Coturnix japonica: one gene and its partner. The protein of the gene in region 1 interacts with the protein of each later gene in a pairwise test. Links are inferred from orthologs where the notes say so. Each region holds a gene or a part of one and is shown in the gene's direction. Other genes may lie near its edges.

Region 1 (4,372 bases):
TCAGCAACACCTAACACAGCTTTTCAGATATGGGAGGAGAAATGTTTTATAAGTGAACACTTGACACTTCAATACATTTCTGTTACTCTGAAGTTCAGACCAAAGTTAAAAGGATGACACATGGAGATGCATGTGCAGTAAAAGTAATATATATAGCTTATGTCATCTTGCGATCTTGAGCTAAGAAGAATGGAACAACTCTATAGGAGAAAGCCTTAGGGATGCTGGATACCACAACTGAATGTGCACTGTTACAGCAGATATTCTGTACTGCTACATGACAAATTCCCCTGTCAACCTGCTTCAATAAATAAGCACTTCTCTAAATTGTCCTGCGGATGATGGAGGAGAAGAAAACGCTGAACAGATCAATAGTGGAATTAGAAATAAAAAATTCACCGACTGGGTATTTTGCTTCAGACCTGACAATGAAAATAGTCCTGAGCTGATTCATTCCAAATAAAGCTCTAAATACTGTGAGATTTATATTTCACTCCGAGCAGATTAATATTCTTAAAATACACACACAAAAAAACAACACATCTGTAGGTGTTCCTTGGGGCAAAGAAAATATTCCTTCACTCTATTTTAGTGTGTGAAGGCAAGCATTTCTCATGCCGTGCTGTCAGTGAACTCTCAGCTACCAGTAGCAAGAAAAAAACATCTCTTTATTGCCCTAATAATTAAAGCAAAGATTTGTCTTTATTGTTGCAGTTGTCACTATTGTTCTAATTATCTGCTGTAAGCTGAATGCCTGCTTTCTGTTAGCTATAGCTCACGCTCCCACACAGCTTCATCCATAATTTCAGCTAATGGAAGAGCTGCCTGAAATCTATTGTGAGGAGATATTTGTTGGCTTGGTTGCACCCTTCTTCATCAATTACAAGCACTCCCAGAAGATGCAATCTCTTATTGACTTTTAATTAGTTCCTCACGACAGCAGGATTTATGGGCTTTTTTTCCCCTTGCATCCAGTTTTATTACGGGAGCTCTGCAATAGTTATAGATTCCGCAATGATCAAAAAACTGATGGAAATGCTACTAGGCCAAAATCAAACTAATAGAATGACAATAGAGCTGATTTCATCTGAGTAGCATTAACCTTAATGGAAACATAGAAAATCGATGTGAAAGGCCAAAGGAGGAATTACTTATACATCTGTCAAGCCAAACTTAATCATTTTAAGAGGCTTCAGTCAGAGAAGGATCTGAGCACAGGAATACCAACAGGAAGACATGGGTGTGAGCTGAGGTAGGTCTTCATAGAAAGATAAAATCTAATACTGCAAATTCATGACGTGAGCTCACCCTCCTAGGAGCAATTTGAGGTGATTTAATTCACATTACAAGGGGAAATTAACAATTGAAAGAGACTAAAACAGAACGCTCGCCTACCATCAGGGCTCTCAGTCTCCACAGCATCACTGTGGAGAAACAACCCGCAGCCAAGATGGCGCCCGCGCCTCCAGCACTAAAGATGGCGCCGACGCAACGAGCGACGTGACGGCGCGCATGAGCGAGGAGGGCGGAGCGGGGTTGGAGTTTTGGCGGGTGCTTGGAAGGCGGGAGGCGGTGAGTGGGACTGTGAGGAGAGCGGGTCTGTGTGTGAGGGGAGATGGGGGCCGTGTGTGAGGGGAGATGGGGGCCGTGTGTGAGGGGAGATCGGGGCCGTGTGTGTGAGGAGAGCGGGGCTGTGAGGAGAGTCGGGCTTTCTGTGAGGGGAGAGTCGGGCTTTCTGTGAGGGGAGATGGGGGCCGTGTGTGAGGGGAGAGCGGCCGAGCCTTAGAGGGATCAGGGTTGAAAGGGAAGGAGGTTAATGGGATCGCGGGTACGAATGGAGAGGATCCCTTGAATGTGGAGATCGGGCTGAATGAAGAGGGAATCCTTTGGTGGAAGAAGGAAGGAGGGATCCCAGGATGGGGGGCTGGGATCGGCCTGTGGTGAGGATTTATTCTCCATGTTGTGCCCTTGTGCTGCATTTGGCTCTGATCAAGGCAGGCTGCGCGTGTGGGAATAGGTTTGTGGATTAAAGTTCTTGTGGGCAGCTGTGGATGGAGAGTGTAGTGATCTACTGAGGGTGCTGGCCTCCGTTTGTAGGTGATCTCCATTCCAATGGTATCCATTTGTTCTGTGACAGAGTCTGTTTTGCCTCGGGGGGCTGTGGAAGGAATCGTGGTGAGATCATGGATGGTAAGGGATAAAAGCACTGCCCTACTTTCAGTAGGGAAGCTTTCTGACCAAGTGCAGAGAGCTCCATTAGCCTCTTAACAAAGGAAATCATATTGTGCTCCCTTTGGCTGTGTCTGTTGCCTTCATCACCCTCATCCTCTTGTGAGGCTGCATTTGAGTCTTCCTCAGGGCCAAAGGCTGAATACCTTTCTCATGTTGCTCTATGTATGTATCTCCGCTCTGTCTGTCCTGTTCCTCTCCCTGTTTTTAGAATCATCAAATCTTTTCAGTTGGAAGGGACCTTTAAAGGTCATTTAATCCAACTCCCCTGCAATGAACAGGGATATGCACAGCTTGATCAGGTTGCCCAGGGCCTGATCCATCCTTGTCTTGAAAGTCTTCAGGGATGGGGCATCTAATACATCTCTGGGCAGCTTGTTCCAGTGCCACACCACCCTCACTGTAAAAGACAAGGAAAAAATCCAACCTACATCTACTCTCTTCAAGCTTTTTGACCTTTTGCTTCATGTTTCTCTGCTGCTCTGTTCACTTTCTTGAGCAAAAAGCGTATTCAAGACAGTGACTTGAATGTTTGATTCTGTAGCAGCTTTCCTCTAAAAGGATAGAAGTAAAACCGAGTTTAATTTCTACTTCAGGTGATGAAGATTTGGATCTGTTGGTCTCCCTCCTGGCGGAAAATGAGGGAGCTGAAGAGGGGAATTCTCCTGAGGAGGAAGATACCTCGAAGACTGAGAAGGGAGAACCAGATGAGTATGATGAGCTCTTTGATGCAGAAGATGATGCATCATACACTGAGGAGGTGGACGCTGACAACAGCATAATTGATGAGGAGAAGGAGAACCTGGCTGAGCTGTTTGGAGATGTGGATGACCTGCTGGAAGAAGAGGAGGCAGAAAACACTGTCACAGCTTCAGTTCCCAATCAGGGGGAAGAGAAAACCAATGAAGAATTACAAGGTTTCTATTACAGCATCTTTTAAATGGTCTTGTGTTCACTAGAGAAGATACACGCAACATGTCAAGGAATATAGCACAAAAAAGTTAAATATTGATATAAGTCAGCTCTAGGCTGCATGGAAAGCTGTCCCTTCCCTGTGAGCCATGTAGAATCAGAGCTAAATCTATCCTGTAGCTCTAGTCTTTTTGTTCCTAATCTGTGATGTAGTAATACTGCCAGGCTCCCCAGGATTTTGTTAATCCCTGTTTACTGTGGCTTTTACTGCTGTCCTCATTATTGTCCTTTTTCTTCTTTCTTAGCTGAGCTGAGAAAACTACAAGAGCAGATGAAGATGTTGCAGGAGCAGCTGCAGAAGACGGCCATTGGGCAGCAGTCCAGTTCAGGCCCTGGGCAGAAAGCCTCTGGTAACAAGACTAATTAAATGAGTTTCTGATTTGTTAACTTCCCAATGTGTAAATTATAGGCAGATGATAATCTGAAGTGGGAACTGAGTAGCAAAAAGGAATGATGGTCTGTTATATTCCTGTACAGGTTGTTTCTTTCAGTACAGACTAAATGGTTTTGTTATTGGCATCATGGATTGATTGAAATGGGGCAACTTCTATGACTGTGGTGCTCCAGTGTTCTGCTGGAAAAGGTTCTTTCTTAGTAGCAGATGCTGGTGCACTCAAATGTTGCTACACCCAGAAAATACAGCCGTGTTCGTTGCTGATGCACATTTAGTGTAGTAATAATGAAACAGGGAAACTGAAAAGCAAAGACATGTTCCTACTTTCTACAGCTTTCTGGCTTCAGTGACATCAAGAGTTTAAGGTCAGAAGGAGTAAGAATCATTGGGGCTTTCCCAGATGTTGCATGTCACATGCTGGCAATTAAGAGTTTCCATGTGGGACCCTGACTTGGATTTATTTGAACAATTACTCAGTTTGGAGTAATGTTTAGTATGTGAGACTGGATCCTGAGATCTCATAAGTGCTTTTGTTTTCCTGGCTAGGTAAATCTCTCTGTCCACCCTTAAAGGAAAGGAAAGCTCAGAAGCTGCAGGAGTCACCGTGTTTCTCAGCCCAGCTGGACAATCCTTTACCAGCAGCCAAGAAAGGAAACCAGAAATCAAAAGCCTCCCCAGCAGGTATGGTTCTTAGTGAGCCTTCACTGAGACACACTGGGCTTTGCTGAAAGCCTACATAGTTCACAGCAGCAGCATGGACACATCCAGGGCAGTATT
Region 2 (4,395 bases), on another chromosome or scaffold:
TTATCACAACAGACTTATTACCAATGAATCCAAGTTTCAAAACAATCATTTATTTAGGTAAGCTGGCTGGCATGAATTTTACTTAATTTCTTTTGTTCTTACAGAGCTGGTAACGTACATCTGAAGTGCTTCCTCCTAATAATACACAAAATTAGCGGCTTCATTTCATGCCAACAAAAAAACAGAGTTCTGACAACTATGTTCATTACTCTAGATGTGGCAGCAGGTTTTGCACGTACTCCTGTAACAATTGTGCTTATCCCAATTCTATTAAGTTACTTGAGCTCATATTTTAGTTTGATTTATTCTCAGTAGCTGCAAAAGAACTGCAGTTCCTCTGGGAGGCCCCTATCCCTTCTTTTCCCTTTGTATGCCATATCATTTCATGCAGTTTTTCTCAGCCAACTGAAAATAATTATGATCATAAATCAAAATGCAAAACGCATTTGTCAAGACTGTCATCTGAACAGGATGCTTCGGTGTATGCTGCACATTGCTAGAACTTGGTTAAAACTCGGCAAATAGTAATTCAGAACTCTGTCTTGTTTTGATCGTTAGCAGTTCTGGTTTCATAGTTTAGGAAAACATGTATAGTCCTTGATTTCCATCACCTATTGCAGGATAGTTTAACAACTATCTCACTTCCTGTCCTTAGATGTATGCACAGATACAATTCCCTTAGTTTATGGGAACTTAAATCTTCAGTCAGAATCGTGCATGTTTTCACTACAAATAACACTTTGTAGTTCCTTTCAAGTTGTCTGGGAACAAAACCAACTGAGATTCTTGCAGACATCTTCTGAAGCTTGAAAGCTTGTTCTCTGATTTGGATTCGTGTGATAAGTGCTTCAGTTTAGTCAGCTATTCTTTTTACATAGAGGGCAAAATGCTTCATTCGCATACTGCTTGCGCCAGTAATTTCACCATCTCATCTCTGCCCCTCAGGGCTTTCCTGATAACAAAAGGAAGATAGAATGAAACCGACAGGCTTCCCCCGCAGGATCTTTCCTAGGGAAGATACTGAGCTCTTTGTGTTTCAGTTTCCAGATAAAACTTGGGGAGTCCTTCAGACTCCTGTTACGGGTGGTTTCCAAAGAGGAAGAACTAGAAGAGAGCAGATGGCCTTGGAACAGGCTGCCCAGGGAGGTTGTGGATGCCCCGTCCTTGGAGATGTTCAAGACCAGGTTGGATGGGGCCCTGGGCAACCTGATCTAGTAAAGGTGTATGTTTGGTGGCCCTGCCAGGCAGGGGGGTTGGAACTACATGATCCTTGAGGTCCCTTCCAACCCGGGTAATTCTGTGATTCTTAGCACTGTGCAAAGGCTCCATATCAAATATTCACTGAGATCTTTAAAAATAAAACGCTGCATTTAATCGCTTTCACCATTGCGCACTGAGGGCGCCACGCAGCCCTGAGGAGACGCTCGCTTTTGGCGCGAAAACGCCCGAGAGGGAAGAGGAAACGCGGGGCGGGAGGGCGGGACTCTGAGAGACGGCGGCCGCTGATTGGTCAGCGCGGCTGTGGCGCGAAGGTTGGCGGGCGGGGCCAGGGCCGGGAGCGGGGCGGCAGCGGCAGCCATAGCCATAGCCATAGCCATGGACCTGGCGGTGGCGGCCGGCGGAGCGGGAGCGGTACAACAGCATCAGCAGCTGCGGGATGAGGTGGCCGAGAAGTGCCAGAAGCTGTTCCAGGATTTTCTCGAGGAGTGAGTGCGGATGGGGGGGGGGTTTCCTGTCGGGGTCTGCGGCCACGCTCCACCGTCCCTGTGAGAAAAGCTCGGGCCCAGCTCTGAGGCGCTTTGTGCCCGGCTTGCCGCCCGTTGTGGTAACGTCGTGAGGCCGCTCTGGGCCTTGTTGTCGAGGTGTGGAGGCGGGGCCGGCCTGTGTGTGCCGGCGTGTTCATAGCGGGCAGAGGGAAAACACTTGGCGTTGGAACGGGATCCTGAGATCAAGAGTAATCATTAACCTCGTGCTGCCATTCACACAGAATCACAGAATGAGCCGGGTTGGAAGGGACCTCAAGGATCATGTAGTTCCAACCCCCTGCCTGGCAGGGCCACCAAACATACACCTTTACTAGCTCAGGTTGCCCAGGGCCCCGTCCAACCTGGCCTTGAACACCTCCAGGAACGGGGCATCCACAACCTCCCTGGGCAGCCTGTTCCAGGGCCTAACCACTCTCCTAGTGAAGAACTTCCCCCTAACATCCAACCTAAATTTTCCCTCTTTTAACTTAAAACCATTTAATCCACGCCCTTAAACACCACCTCTTTGTTGTTCTTAAATACCTCCAGGGATGTGACTCAAATGCTTCCTTTGCAGTCTGTTTTAATGCTTCACAACCCTCGCAATGAAAAAAAAAAGTTTTTATAATCCAACCTAAACCCTAAACCCCAAAACAGCAATGTGAGGCTGTTTCCTCTTGTCCTATGGCTTGTTGCTTGGGAGAAAATATTGCTGGAAGGGATGTCTGTGAGGGGATGGGGAGTGCCACTCTTCTGTCTTGAATCCAGAAGTTTTTGGTTGCTGTCTGATCTATTACTGCCGCTCTGTTACGTGTTACTGTCATTCACCCTGGCTTGCTTTCAGATTCCAGAATAGTGATGGGGAGGTCAAATACCTGCGTGATGCTGAGGAGCTGATCCGGCCGGAGCGTAACACACTGACCGTGAGCTTTGTGGATTTGGAGCAGTTCAATCAGCAGCTCTCTACCACTGTTCAGGAGGAATTTTACAGGTAAAGCGTACAGGTTGTATTTACTCTGATAAAGAAATAGATGGTCAGAATGAGAATGCAGCTCTGGAGCTTATTGCTCTGCAAATATTATATTGGCTTATTTTGAGGCTCTGCTGTTTAATAAAAGGAGAAAAGTGCCATAAAATAAGGTCTCAAAAATCTTTTCTCATACAGTTAATTAAAAAATGTAGTTATAACACAGCAATCTCATTGATAGCATATTTAGATGAGCTTTTGTGTTTTTTCATAGGGTTGTTGTAAAGCCAGAACCTGCAAATGTATGATACAAGCCTGTGATGTAGTCTAAAGTGAAAAAGGCGTTTGATATCTAATATGGAAATCAAACTTGTTTTCTTTATTTCAGGGTTTATCCTTATCTTTGCCGAGCAGTGAGGACTTTTGCTAGAGACCATGGAAACATTCCTGCAAACAAGGACTTCTATGTCGCGTTTCAGGATCTTCCTACCAGACACAAGTAAGATGATTATTAATCCTAGAAACTCGTATATTCTCACCTCTGGAAAAAAGATGTCAAAAGCTATTGAAGATGTTCTCATTATACAGCATAAAAGGTGCACTTTATCCATACAATAATGAAGAAGATGCATGATTTTATGTAACCTTTTTTCATTTGTGAATCATGCAAATGCTGGGCTGAAAGTGACTGCAGATACTGACGAGCTGATTAAACTTTTGCATTTAAAATCTGGTATAATGTGTTGCTTTTGAAGTGCCAATGGTGTAATTAATGTTGATCTACAAGTATGTAAAATGACAAAATGGGAAGTTGTTTTTCTTTATGTTGTTTCATTTGCCTGTTGCAATTGTTCTTTTGTTACATAGTGAGCTGCTCCTACGTGAGTGCTCTGGGTCTGAAATGTCAGCTGGACTAGGAATTTAGTCTGGAATTAATTTCTGTTCTACACAGGATTCGAGAACTGACATCTGCCAAAATTGGCTCGCTGATGCGTATCAGTGGGCAGGTGGTACGTACCCACCCAGTTCATCCAGAGCTTGTCAGTGGAACCTTCCTCTGCCTGGACTGCCAGACAGTGATTAAGGATGTGGAACAGCAATTTAAGTATACACAGCCAAACATCTGCAGAAACCCAGTCTGTGCCAACAGAAGGAGATTCCTGCTGGACACAAACAAATCAAGATTTGTTGACTTCCAAAAGGTACAGTGGTGAAGTTGAATGAGGGGGTGACAAATGACGAGGTGATGTTCTTGTGGTGTTTGAAAGGTGTTGCTGCTGCTGCTCATTGGAGACTGTTGATTTTGGTAGTGTCAACATCAAGAAAAGACCTTGAGAAAAGGCACTGGAGTTTCTGCAAATAGTTTCTTTCTTTCTTTGAAGACTTGAAGTGTGGGAAATTACAAATACAATCTAAAGAGTTTTATTGTGTGATATTTAATATGTAAACAAGCCACTGAAAACCCACGTATTCAATCCTTTGTCAGTCTCCTATCACATATATTCATAATTGTTTCATATAAGTATGAAAAGAGGTGTCTTTTTTGGATCTGTAGTGTTTTACTCTTCCACGTGGATTTACTCTGCCAGATCCTCAGCACATCACATCTCACGATAATGTGTTGCATTGAGTAGAATCTAAGTGTCCTGAGTGCTTTTCCTTGACTTGACATTTGGCACCGTG

What was found.
Region 2: the proteins of MCM10 (region 1) and MCM6 interact in binary tests that used the Homo sapiens proteins (3 or more experiments, as listed by UniProt). The two-hybrid records come from large-scale screens. The link is inferred for Coturnix japonica from reciprocal best matches to the Homo sapiens genes MCM10 and MCM6.

Annotation. Positions count from the first base shown.
Region 1 is NC_029516.1:5,991,448-5,995,819, forward strand, and holds the start of MCM10 (protein MCM10 homolog), read left to right. Parts: upstream 1-1,466; 5' UTR 1,467-1,512; coding exon 1,513-1,576; intron 1,577-1,767; exon of another isoform or gene 1,768-1,940; intron 1,941-2,137; exon of another isoform or gene 2,138-2,139; coding exon 2,140-2,190; intron 2,191-2,825; coding exon 2,826-3,146; intron 3,147-3,446; coding exon 3,447-3,551; intron 3,552-4,141; coding exon 4,142-4,276; intron 4,277-4,372. UniProt on the Homo sapiens protein: Acts as a replication initiation factor that brings together the MCM2-7 helicase and the DNA polymerase alpha/primase complex in order to initiate DNA replication. Additionally, plays a role in preventing DNA damage during replication.
Region 2 is NC_029522.1:27,852,180-27,856,574, reverse strand, and holds the start of MCM6 (DNA replication licensing factor MCM6), read left to right. Parts: upstream 1-1,533; 5' UTR 1,534-1,596; coding exon 1,597-1,706; intron 1,707-2,589; coding exon 2,590-2,736; intron 2,737-3,100; coding exon 3,101-3,211; intron 3,212-3,664; coding exon 3,665-3,914; intron 3,915-4,395. UniProt on the Homo sapiens protein: Acts as a component of the MCM2-7 complex (MCM complex) which is the replicative helicase essential for 'once per cell cycle' DNA replication initiation and elongation in eukaryotic cells.